2 linked regions of the Caenorhabditis elegans genome follow. The protein of the gene in region 2 purifies or fractionates together with the protein of the main gene of each other region. This does not show direct contact. Each region holds a gene or a part of one and is shown on either strand. Other genes may lie near its edges.

Region 1 (3,618 bases), on a different chromosome or scaffold from region 2:
GATCATACTCCTGCTCACATGCGATACGAATAGTCGCGAATTCTCTTTGAAGAGGAAGTGGCTCTTCTGGAAGGAATTTCTGCTTCAGTGGAGCATTATCTTCAGCATAAATCGGAAGTTGCTCAATCTTAATAGGTTTTGAATCTCCATTATTCGTCGTGTTTTTCGAGGTGACAAGTTGCCAGAATTGTCCAAAAACATTTGTCACTTGTTCACCGGCGTTTGAAATTGTCTCCACAATCGGCTTGTCTTGTGTCATCTGGAAAATCAAGCGGTAAAACAATAAAATAATAAAACAAGAATAAATATTTTAAAATTGATTAGCTTATTATAATTATTAAAAAACCATGAAGAAATAAGTATTCCTACATTTGTGGCGCAAAATATCTCGTAGCGCAGGCTCTGTGTCGATTTACGGAGTTTGTGTTTATTCACGATGCGCCTTTAAACAATTATTTAAAATTGATTTTCTTTGTATTTAATTACCACTTTTTCATAAATCGACACCGACGCCTGCGCTACTATATATTTCGCGCCAGGCTTTCTTGTTTTTTTTTTAAATATTTTCTAACATTTAAACCCCTCTGAGGACGGTTTTAAAATTAAAATAGATAATTAACAGGCAATTAACCATGTCTTTAACCAATCCAAATTACCCTTAAAACACCCAAAATAATTTATTAAAAAAACGAAAATTGGGGAGATCTTTTGCATAACAAAACAGAAGAATAATAAACAAAGGATGTTCAGAATTTGGACAGTTTAGAATGGGGTTTTAAAATGGAACGTCAGTAATGGAAGTTTAAGAACGCGATCTTCTGCCGGCTGGAGAACGAGAGCGGCTGGCACGGCGGAATCTGTTGGGCCCTCCAAGTGGCATATTGTTGGCTCCTGAGCCACGGCCGCCCATTGGAGAACGTCTGCGATGTGGTGGTGGACTGCGGCCTCTGGAATTTGATGAAAATTATCAAAATATACTACTTTTCCTTGATTACTTACCCTCTTCTCATTGGTGACATTCTGTCTCTTGGTGGCGGCGAGCGTCTTCTAAATGGAGAACTTCTACGCTGGAATGGGACAGATTGTCGTCCGATAGTCATTTCGACGTGAACAGCCATTCCATCGATTTGTCCTCCATCCATGTGCTTGATCGACTTTTCGGCGTCTTCCAAATTGTCATATTCAACGTATCCATATCCACGATGAACATGGTTATGGAAGCGATCTGGTGGAAGATCGACATTCTTGATGGCTCCGTAGATCGAGAAAATCTCCTCGAGGTGCGTTTTCAGAACATTTCTGCTCAAATTTTTGATCACTACACGCTTGGCCGGACTGGCTGATCTTGCTGCTGGGCTTCTCCTCGGAGAAGCGCGTCTCCTCTGACGGCTCCCGCTTCTGTCACGACGATCACGACGTGGTGGCGATGGGGATGGACGACGGCGACGTGGTGGTGATGGTGATGGTCGCATTGGGCGATCGCGATCCGCGCGTGCTCCTCTTGGCGGTGAACCACGACGGATTGGAGAACGAGAGCGTCCTCCACGAGCTGGTGGGCGGGTATCACGACGACGTGGTGAGCGAGAACGAGAACGGCCACTGGACGATGAGCTGGAGGAGCGAGATCCTGATGAACTACTTCTGAAATATCGATTATTAAGCTATTGTATGAAAATTGTAAAGCATACCCAGAAGATGACGATCCAGAGCTACTGGACGAGCTGCTTGAAGACGAGCGAGCCCTCTTTTTGGTTTCTTCTTTCTCAACCATACTGAAAAATTATTTCATATACTCGAATAGACATCAACTAAGTAAGAAAATTTTCACCGCGTGGTGTTCGAGCAGAAGAAGAGACAGAATGTTGGCTAAAGCGCTTACTTTTTTGAGTAAATAATTAACCAAAAACAAGAATTACGGATTTTCAAATAAATTTTTAATTGAAAAACAAGAAAAAACCTATAGAAAAACTATAGAATTGAAAATATCGAATCATTTTTCGAAGAGACGCGGGTGAATGATTTACGGTAAACAACGCGCGCGGTGGAATATCGGAGTGTCGTTGCAAAACAAAACACTTTCGTTTTTTTTTTCAATTTCAAAATGGACTCTGCAGAATCTGAACTTTTAGAAGAAGAAGAGCTCCCAGAAATCAAATATATCGACTCTGCAGAATTCCAAAATTTCGATAATAACGCTGATCAGCGTGAAATTCAGTTTCGATGGATGGAAGCATTTGAAACAAAAGGTAATTTTTTCCCAAAAAAGTATTTTAGCACTAAATTCTTTTGCAGAACCAAGATGGTTTAGGCTTCTTGACGAATTCATCACTCCACTTTCTGGAAAACGTGGATATTGTTCTCGAATCGTCGAGAAGTACGCTCGAGTACTTCTTCATCAAGGATTTGAGTTGAGCCAGACGGATGGGCCGCTTCGTGTCGCAGCAATTGCGGCTTCGAGAGATGTGGGACAAGCCGGAAATCTTCCATCAGTATTGAACAATTTATCAGAAGTTACAAGACATCTGAATCTTGCTCAGTATGCCAGCACATCGCTCGCCACTGTAGGACAGAGGAAATTCGCAAATGAAGTCGTCCAGTGAGTGATTTTTTTTAAAATTTTATCTTTTCAATGGAAATTTCTTTCAGAAAAACTGTGAATCAAGAGCGCCTTGGTTGTTTTCACCTGTTCCTCATTGGATACCGCGAAGGACTCGAAAATCTTCTCTCAAATCATCGACACCTGCGAAATTTTCGATATAGTGCAAAAAAACGGCATGACCTTCTGACGGAGCACATTAAGAATATATTTCAAGAGCGAGATTCGTTTATTCAAGCACCAGAAGCTAGCAGCTTCGCACTTCAGACGGTTCTAGAAAACTGGACATTTCCACTTCAAAATGAACAAATTGTACAACTCGCCCATGCGAATACTCTTCAAATGCGCGCTCTTCACGTCAAAGGAGACGGTTTTTATTTTCTAAACGAAGCACTCAATGTGGCTATTGCATTCAACTGGTCCAGCTCCCAGGAAGAAATGGAAGAATTCTATTCAATTTTTACTCCACAAGCGACAAATCCACGTGGAAAACGAATTTTTCAATTTTGGAAAATGATTTCCAAGTACGATAGGAGTAATGGAAATGCACAAGGATTCTTGGTGACTGCTCAGCGATTAGAAGAGGAATCCAAGTCAGATGATATTGGAGCTGGATGTGTGACAGCTGTGGAACTTGCGTGTAAAATTCGCAACCAGTGTGATCAGCATGAAGACTTGTCAGTTTTCCGCTGGATTCCAGAGTTTCATATTTAGCAGGCCCAAAACGAATGCTTGGCAGATCCAAATTTTTCGCTCAATAAACAGCAAATTTACCTCTCTTTTCGTTTTCTCCTTCAATAAATCGAGACAGTCTGTCTGCTTTGGTCAGCTAAACATTTAGACCAAAGTTAGGTATGATAAATATTTAGCAGACCAAAGTTAGGTATGCTAAATATTTAGTAGACCAAAGTTGGGTATGCTAAATATTTAGCAGGCCAAAGTTAGGTATGATAAATATTTAGCAGACCACAGTTAGGTATGCTATATGTTTAGCAGACCAAAGTTGGGTATGCTAAATATTT
Region 2 (6,745 bases):
TTGAACATGCCAAAGTCCTATAGTTTTCTCAGAAAGTGATTTTTTTTAAATTTTCTCACTGGCACTTTTCCGCCTCTAGAACGTGAGAACAAACACGGAAACTTGAAGATTTATTTTTTCCACACTGATTGTCGTTTTCCAGGGATAAACTGCGAAGAAGCATTTCACACTTTGACAGCTGCAATGAGAGAACGAATAACGGCTGGCAGTATGCATTCGGATGAGTCGGATGACAACGAGGTTAGTAAGACAGACAATATCCGGATGCAATTTATATGCTAATTATCTTTCAATAAATATGCCATTTTTAGGAGTTTTCATCGGCCTTCCACGTTGACGGAGTCATCAAAAGCGATAAAGGGAAGTTCACATCATGCTGTGCAAGTGCTCCGGAACCCGCCTTTGTCTGATTTAAACCTTGACTTAAACATATCATTCATTTAGTCATTCATCACAATCTCGATAAAACACTTCGATCATTTGATAATCTTTTTTTTTAAACGTGCTTTAATTATTTTTAAGTGTGCTTGTCAAAACCATTTCAAGGTGCTCTGCCGTTATGTGGTGCAATTAAAAAACCCCCTTAACATTTGTATGCTTCTTACTTGTTAGCACAATATTTTTTCCCTCATCATCTTTTTTTACATTGGTCATTTGCACTTTCATGACGTCATTGGAACGTCACTATGTTTTATCTTGAATTCTCCAATTTCGGGTATTAAGTTTAAATTTACTATTATGATTGATAAATTGTAATTTTCAAATATTTATTTTTATACAATTCACAGAGAGAAAAAAGAGAGATGGAATATATGGATATGAGGTTGCAGCATACGATACGAAAAAATATTACTTTTGGAATGTGTTGTACAACGCAGTAATAGCTACAATTAATCATGAGAAATTGGAAAAATGTGCATATATTGAGATGGGTAGAAATTTTTTTTAATTGAATAATAGAAATCGATTTTCTTTTGAACATTGAATTGAATTAATTACTCGAAAAGGTTGCACGCTTTCAACTTATTAACAGAGCAAAAAATGTCATTTACATACAAAGCGATACATAGAAACAAAATTAGAACTTATGAAAACAAAAATCTCGTCTAAACTTTTATTTTCAATTGTCCGAACCCAACCCAGAAGAACCAGATCCAGAAGTTGACTGTCGTCGAAAACGTTTCACAATTCTCCGGTATCCAGAGGTTAGAACTCTTATTGAACCTCTACGGAAGCGAGTCATTGCGGATGCACGTCCACCGTCATTTCTGTAGACAAGAGAGAAGAAACGGAGATTGAATTGATCCTCTGCGCCATCTGAAACGACATAGCAACATTAAATAAGAAAATTATTGAAACCCATTCTTATGATGCTAAAATGATCAAATACCATAACAAATTTTTTCTAAAAAATTTTGAACATTTTTCAAGAGGTAGTGAAACTCACTATGTTGGCCACTTTTCAATAAATCTAAAGCAATGTAACTGGTTTGAACCTATAATATATAATTAGAACATACAACCAATTTTCCAAAATATTTTGAAACGTTTCGTTGTATAGCTAAACAATGCTCTCGACATTTTTGGTTTAAAATTAGAAATCTTTGCTGCAGACGAATTGTGTTTGAAAACAATTAGAAACTTGAAATTACGGTAGTCGACAAAAAAATATTTTTCGGAATGTTGTTAAAGGTGGAGTAACTGATAAATGGTCATTTTAGCAATTTTAGCCATTTTTAGCAATTTGATTTTTAATAATTTTCCCCACTATTAATTCTGAAACTCTGTTTGAGCCATTAAACTTCAAACATTTTTTTTAAATCAGAATTTCTATTATTATCTAAATTCCAACTCACAATAAATCACTTCTTCACTCTCCACAGCTTCTGCAATCAGCTTATAAAGACACTTATCCTCGTCGTGATTCAAAGCATCAGTTCCAGCTCTTCGACATCGCATGCAAATTTTTATCTGAAAATCATACAGATTTTAAAACTACCCAAACAAAACACTCTCACCGCCAGATTTTCCCAGACACGTTCGGCTTCCTTTTTGCAATAGTAGAGCTGAACTTGCTGTTTGTTCGTGAACTTTGGCATGTTTCGAGCAACTTCAATCTCGGTGTTTTCTCTGCGGAAGTTCTGAAGAAAAAAAACCATAAGATGACAAAAATAATTATATCCTACCATAAGTGCGTAATCTCCAAAATCCGAATCAACTACAGTATCTTGATGTGATCGGAAGCGCTTGATCGTCTGACCCAAACGGCTTTTTATTATGCGATTGAAAATTGACGAAGAGGCAATTTCATCTTTTGCTGGAATGACGATTCTCAAGCACATGCTTCCGTCTCTCTGAAAATATCAGTTTCGTTCTCATCGTAATTCGTAAATAAAAAAACATACCAGTTTGCATTTCTCAATGCGAGTGATGTCATTGTCCCACTCCTTACGGACGTTTTCCATTGCAAACTGGAAAATATTTCTGTTTTTTTGAACACCATTTAAAAATTTGTGCACAAACCACTGCAAACTTTTTGTGATATTTTTTTGGCACAGGTTCAGTCAAGACTTGTTGCTCTCCAGAGACAGCTGGCTCTTCTGGATGATCTGATGCTACACTTTTGTAGCCCTCATCTAAGGTTTCGATGGAGATTTCTGAGCCGTCTCTCTGAACTGTGCTCTTTTCCAGGGACTCTGCCGGAATGAATCTATCAACTACTGGCAACTCTCTAATGAGATCTTCATGACATGAAATCTGGAATACTATTATAGTAGCTAATGCTGTTTTGAAATGGTTTTTTTTAATCTTACAAAATAGTTCCAAACTAGGTCAGAAGTCATCCAATCATCTTCAATTAAAGATTTAAGTGACATGCGTTCAGATGGGTTTACATGAATCAGCTGTTCCACTAGCGATTGAATTTTGTCACTGGCAAGAACGGGGGAACCTAGGATACCAGCTTGAATACTTTCCATCATAGTGTTGCGGCTTTCCAAAATGAACGGACAAGATCCAGTAGCCATAACAAAAATGCACACACCCAAACTCTGAATAAATGGGGATTTTGTTTAAGTACATTTATTACACTCCAAACATTTTTTAGATTTCTTAAGAATTTCCAGTCAAAGTTTTGGCAAGGTGCTGATTTTGAACTTTTAAGAAAATCCAGAATGTCTTTACACGAGCAATTTAAACTAATATAAAGTTGAATATTGTAGAACTTTTTTTTTGGTTGACTTCCAAAAATATAACTGGCAAAATCTAAGTAATTGTCACTTTTTGACAGTTGTTAAAAAACTTCCCAAGTTTTTTTAAAAGTGTAACTTTGATATTTGGTCCTTTTAGCACTATAAGAGTAGTTTTTACCCATAAATCGCATTCAGAAGTCACTTCTGATAACTGATTGTGCAATTCTGGAGCAATAAATGGAAGAATGTGCAGTGGTGTTTGGCTGAATGGGAGCCAGTTCAAAAATTGGGAGCTTTCAATATCCGAAATTTTGACCATATTTTCTTGCAAGAAAATATTCTTTGTCTGCAAAATCGTTGACCTATTGCGTATATCACTAATTTTTCCGAGTTTCTTACATGAAGCGTCCCATGGCAAAGATTTTGTGCATGCAAATATTCGAGAGCTCTTGTGGCTTGTACCAATACAAGCTTAGTCTGGGACTCGTCGTACTTGCCTTTGTCCAAAATGTCGTCTGAAAAGATTAACATTTAGAGAATGAAAAGATACAATAGTAGAAAGTAATCCTACTATTCGTTCGATCAATTTTTTCGAAGTACACACGTTTTTCTGCAACTAATCAATGTTACTCACTAACTCTATTTTTGAAAAGTACATTATAGTGGTGGAGTAGCGAAAATGTTGAAACTTTTTGATACATGCCTTACCGTGTAAAGTCCAAGAATGGAACTCCATTACTTTATACACTATATCTTGAAAATGAGAAACCTGAAAAAAAAAACAATAAGTACAAAAATTTCAAATATCAGTCACCGAGAAAGTCTGTACAATAGCCGGATGCTCGATAGAAATTATTTTCTGAAGAGTGGAGCCTTCATCGTGTGCAGTTAGCACGGCATCATGAAATGTTTCGTGATACTCTTTGATTGCAACCTTGAATTCAATTTTGAAATAACGACACTAAAACAGCTGAAAGCGGTCAAACGTTGTAACACCTGCTCAATTTTTTGACCTTGGATTGCACTTTTAATAGCGTGTGCAAAAAATGTTAAAAATAATTATAAACCAAAGCTCTATAGGTATTTTGAACTAAAAGGAACTGAAGAATACATATAATTGTATAGAAACACTAGTGAAAAATGTGTATTTTTTAGCTGTCCATCAGGGGTTTAGCAGCAGAATATGCAATATTTTAAGAAATTTTGATGATAAATTCCGTAATTTCCTTACATTGTTTTATTATAAAAGTTAAAAAAGGTATGTACTGATCACCCATTTGCCGGAAATTTTCATTTTTAGCAAATTGCCGAATTGTCGTTTGCCGGCTATTAATTTGCCGGAAATTTTTAGAGGAATTTGTTTTAATTTTTTTAATGTGCAAAACCACAATTTTCGGCAAATTCGGCAAATCGGCAATTTGGAAAATTGCTGATTTGCCGGAAATTTGCATTTCTACATTTTGCCGATTTGCCGTTTGCCGAAAATTTTTTTTGTACATACCTGTAACATTGAATCCGTAATAGTTCCTAAGAAGACTGTACCAAAACGACCTGATGCGATTTTGTCACTGATTCCCGTCCCATTCACGACGTTGGACAGGCACGTTAGTTCCACTGGTCTTTCAATAACACTTTCAGATGCATGGTCAATGGACATACAGCATTTTTGGAGTTCCATGGGTATGTCTAATTCTTGGTTTGAGAGGAACATACATTCCATCTTCATCTGAAAGTTTTAGTAAATATTACTTTAAGCTAGTTTACGCAAATATTGTTACGGAAATCAGAAATTATTTTCTCTCGTGCTCCAGTTTTAAACGAACTTGATTTTGAGTTTAAATAGCGAAATAGAGTGGTTTTGAACGATGAAAATAATGACTATTCAACGAATCTATCCTATTAGCACCAATTTGTCGTATTTCTAATATGTAAAACGATGGATTACAAATGCAAGCTTTTCAGCTTCAGTAGAAAAGATTACGAAAAGCTGTTGCAAAGTTGAACTTAGGGCATAGAAGTATCAAAACACAAATGTAAGTTTTTCAGTTTCAGTTCATGATTAATACTCTAATTTCGACAAAATGAGACGTTTTTGAATTCTGTGCTCAACATCGCTTCAAGAAACAGATTAGAAGCAGATTAGAAATTGTATCGTCTTACTGTAGCTGACGCAGAACTAGTAAAGTTACTTAAGACCTTGGATATAATATTGAGATAAAATGTGCACTTTTCGCTTCGCAAAATTCTAAAGTGCGGGGACATTGTTCAGGAAATATTTGAGAACACAACGAATATCTATAGTGACGGCGCGCTTCTTCACCATTTTCCACTTTAAAATCTCCGCCTACATTTTGTGTGAAGCACGGTGAAAAAGCACACATCAACATTCAATGCTCCAACCCGCGAAAAAACACAAGGAAGTTGAACGGAAATAAAAAAGAAAATGTAAAAAATGCAATCCAATATAAATTTTAAAAATTGGTCATAACTAGGGTTTACCTCATTTAACTTGAAACAAAAAAAAATAAAAAATAAAAAATTTTTTTGCAAAGTTTAATTTTATATCTGGTCATTTCAGCTCTTTAGGAATTCAGCCATACTTTTACTTTGCGCAGTTTTCACAAATTACTAGAAAAGTTAGTTTGACGACATAAACTTTTGAGTGTGCTACCCAGCAATTATTCCAGCTACAAGAAGAGAAATATTGATCGTATTCAAAATTTCTACTTACTGTGCTAAAGTAAAAATAGGAAAATAGGAATATTTTTTTAATACTTTTAAATATTCATTTAAAATGGTGGGGATATAATACACAAGTACCAAACAAATTTCAGCAAACCGCACTATTTTAAAGAATAAAGCAATGAAAACAAGAGAAAATAAAATTGAACTCAAAAGCATATGTGCGAATGACGATGGGATCAAGTCAGAAAGTGCATACTCGGCGGGGTTGATGAAGAAAGAAGGCTGTTTTATTGAAATGAGTAAAACATAGTTCTTTCACTTTTTTGTGTGTCTTGGCTAACGACGGCTGCTGGCCAAATAAGAGGGATGATGCGGATGCACTTTTAAGAGAGCACTAACATTTTTCTCTTCTTTCAAGAATGTAGCTTATCTTGCACTGATGTTTGGAATAGATTCTGACTCATGTGTCCTATAATTATTTTGATTCTGCTTTTTCAAGGTACATTTGAATACAAATTATATAGTTAGAGCAGAAACATTTTCAAGCACAAAATTTTAAAACGTGAGCGCAAGTGAGTAATCAAGTAATCTAACATTCGGGTCAATGACTGCTTCGATAAAAATGAAGATGATGAGAGACATTGAAAGTGCAACGGAAATTGTGACGGGTCAAGGGGGGAGTAGAAAAAAAGAAAGAATGACAGATGGGAGCATGTCTTTATGCGTTTCCAACTCACAAGAGGATTTTCGAACTCTCACTAAAAATTCAATGCCACAAGCACATTTCACATCGTTCTGAGAAGCAGGAGTAGCGGGAAGCATGATTACAAAATTGAAGTGTGATCCACGAATTTCCTAGAAAACAGCTT

What was found.
Region 1: the proteins of K02E10.7 (region 2) and rnp-5 fractionate together in Caenorhabditis elegans (co-fractionation; one large-scale study listed by BioGRID). This does not show direct contact.

The regions. Positions count from the first base shown.
Region 1 is NC_003281.10:852,138-855,755, forward strand, and holds rnp-5 (RRM domain-containing protein), read right to left. Parts: upstream 1,773-3,618; 5' UTR 1,772-1,772; coding exon 1,689-1,771; intron 1,642-1,688; coding exon 1,000-1,641; intron 948-999; coding exon 803-947; 3' UTR 664-802; downstream 1-663. Other genes in the region: moma-1 (MICOS complex subunit MIC27), read right to left, coding at 1-259; tag-51 (uncharacterized protein), read left to right, coding at 2,102-2,246, 2,293-2,596, 2,647-3,273.
Region 2 is NC_003284.9:2,500,241-2,506,985, forward strand, and holds K02E10.7 (Protein kinase domain-containing protein), read right to left. Parts: upstream 4,918-6,745; coding exon 4,693-4,917; intron 4,126-4,692; coding exon 4,006-4,125; intron 3,961-4,005; coding exon 3,900-3,960; intron 3,707-3,899; coding exon 3,591-3,706; intron 3,538-3,590; coding exon 3,370-3,537; intron 3,051-3,369; coding exon 2,814-3,050; intron 2,758-2,813; coding exon 2,524-2,757; intron 2,472-2,523; coding exon 2,406-2,471; intron 2,355-2,405; coding exon 2,187-2,354; intron 2,142-2,186; coding exon 2,019-2,141; intron 1,972-2,018; coding exon 1,857-1,971; intron 1,318-1,856; coding exon 1,121-1,317; 3' UTR 747-1,120; downstream 1-746. Other genes in the region: rabr-1 (RAB family), read left to right, coding at 143-240, 312-410.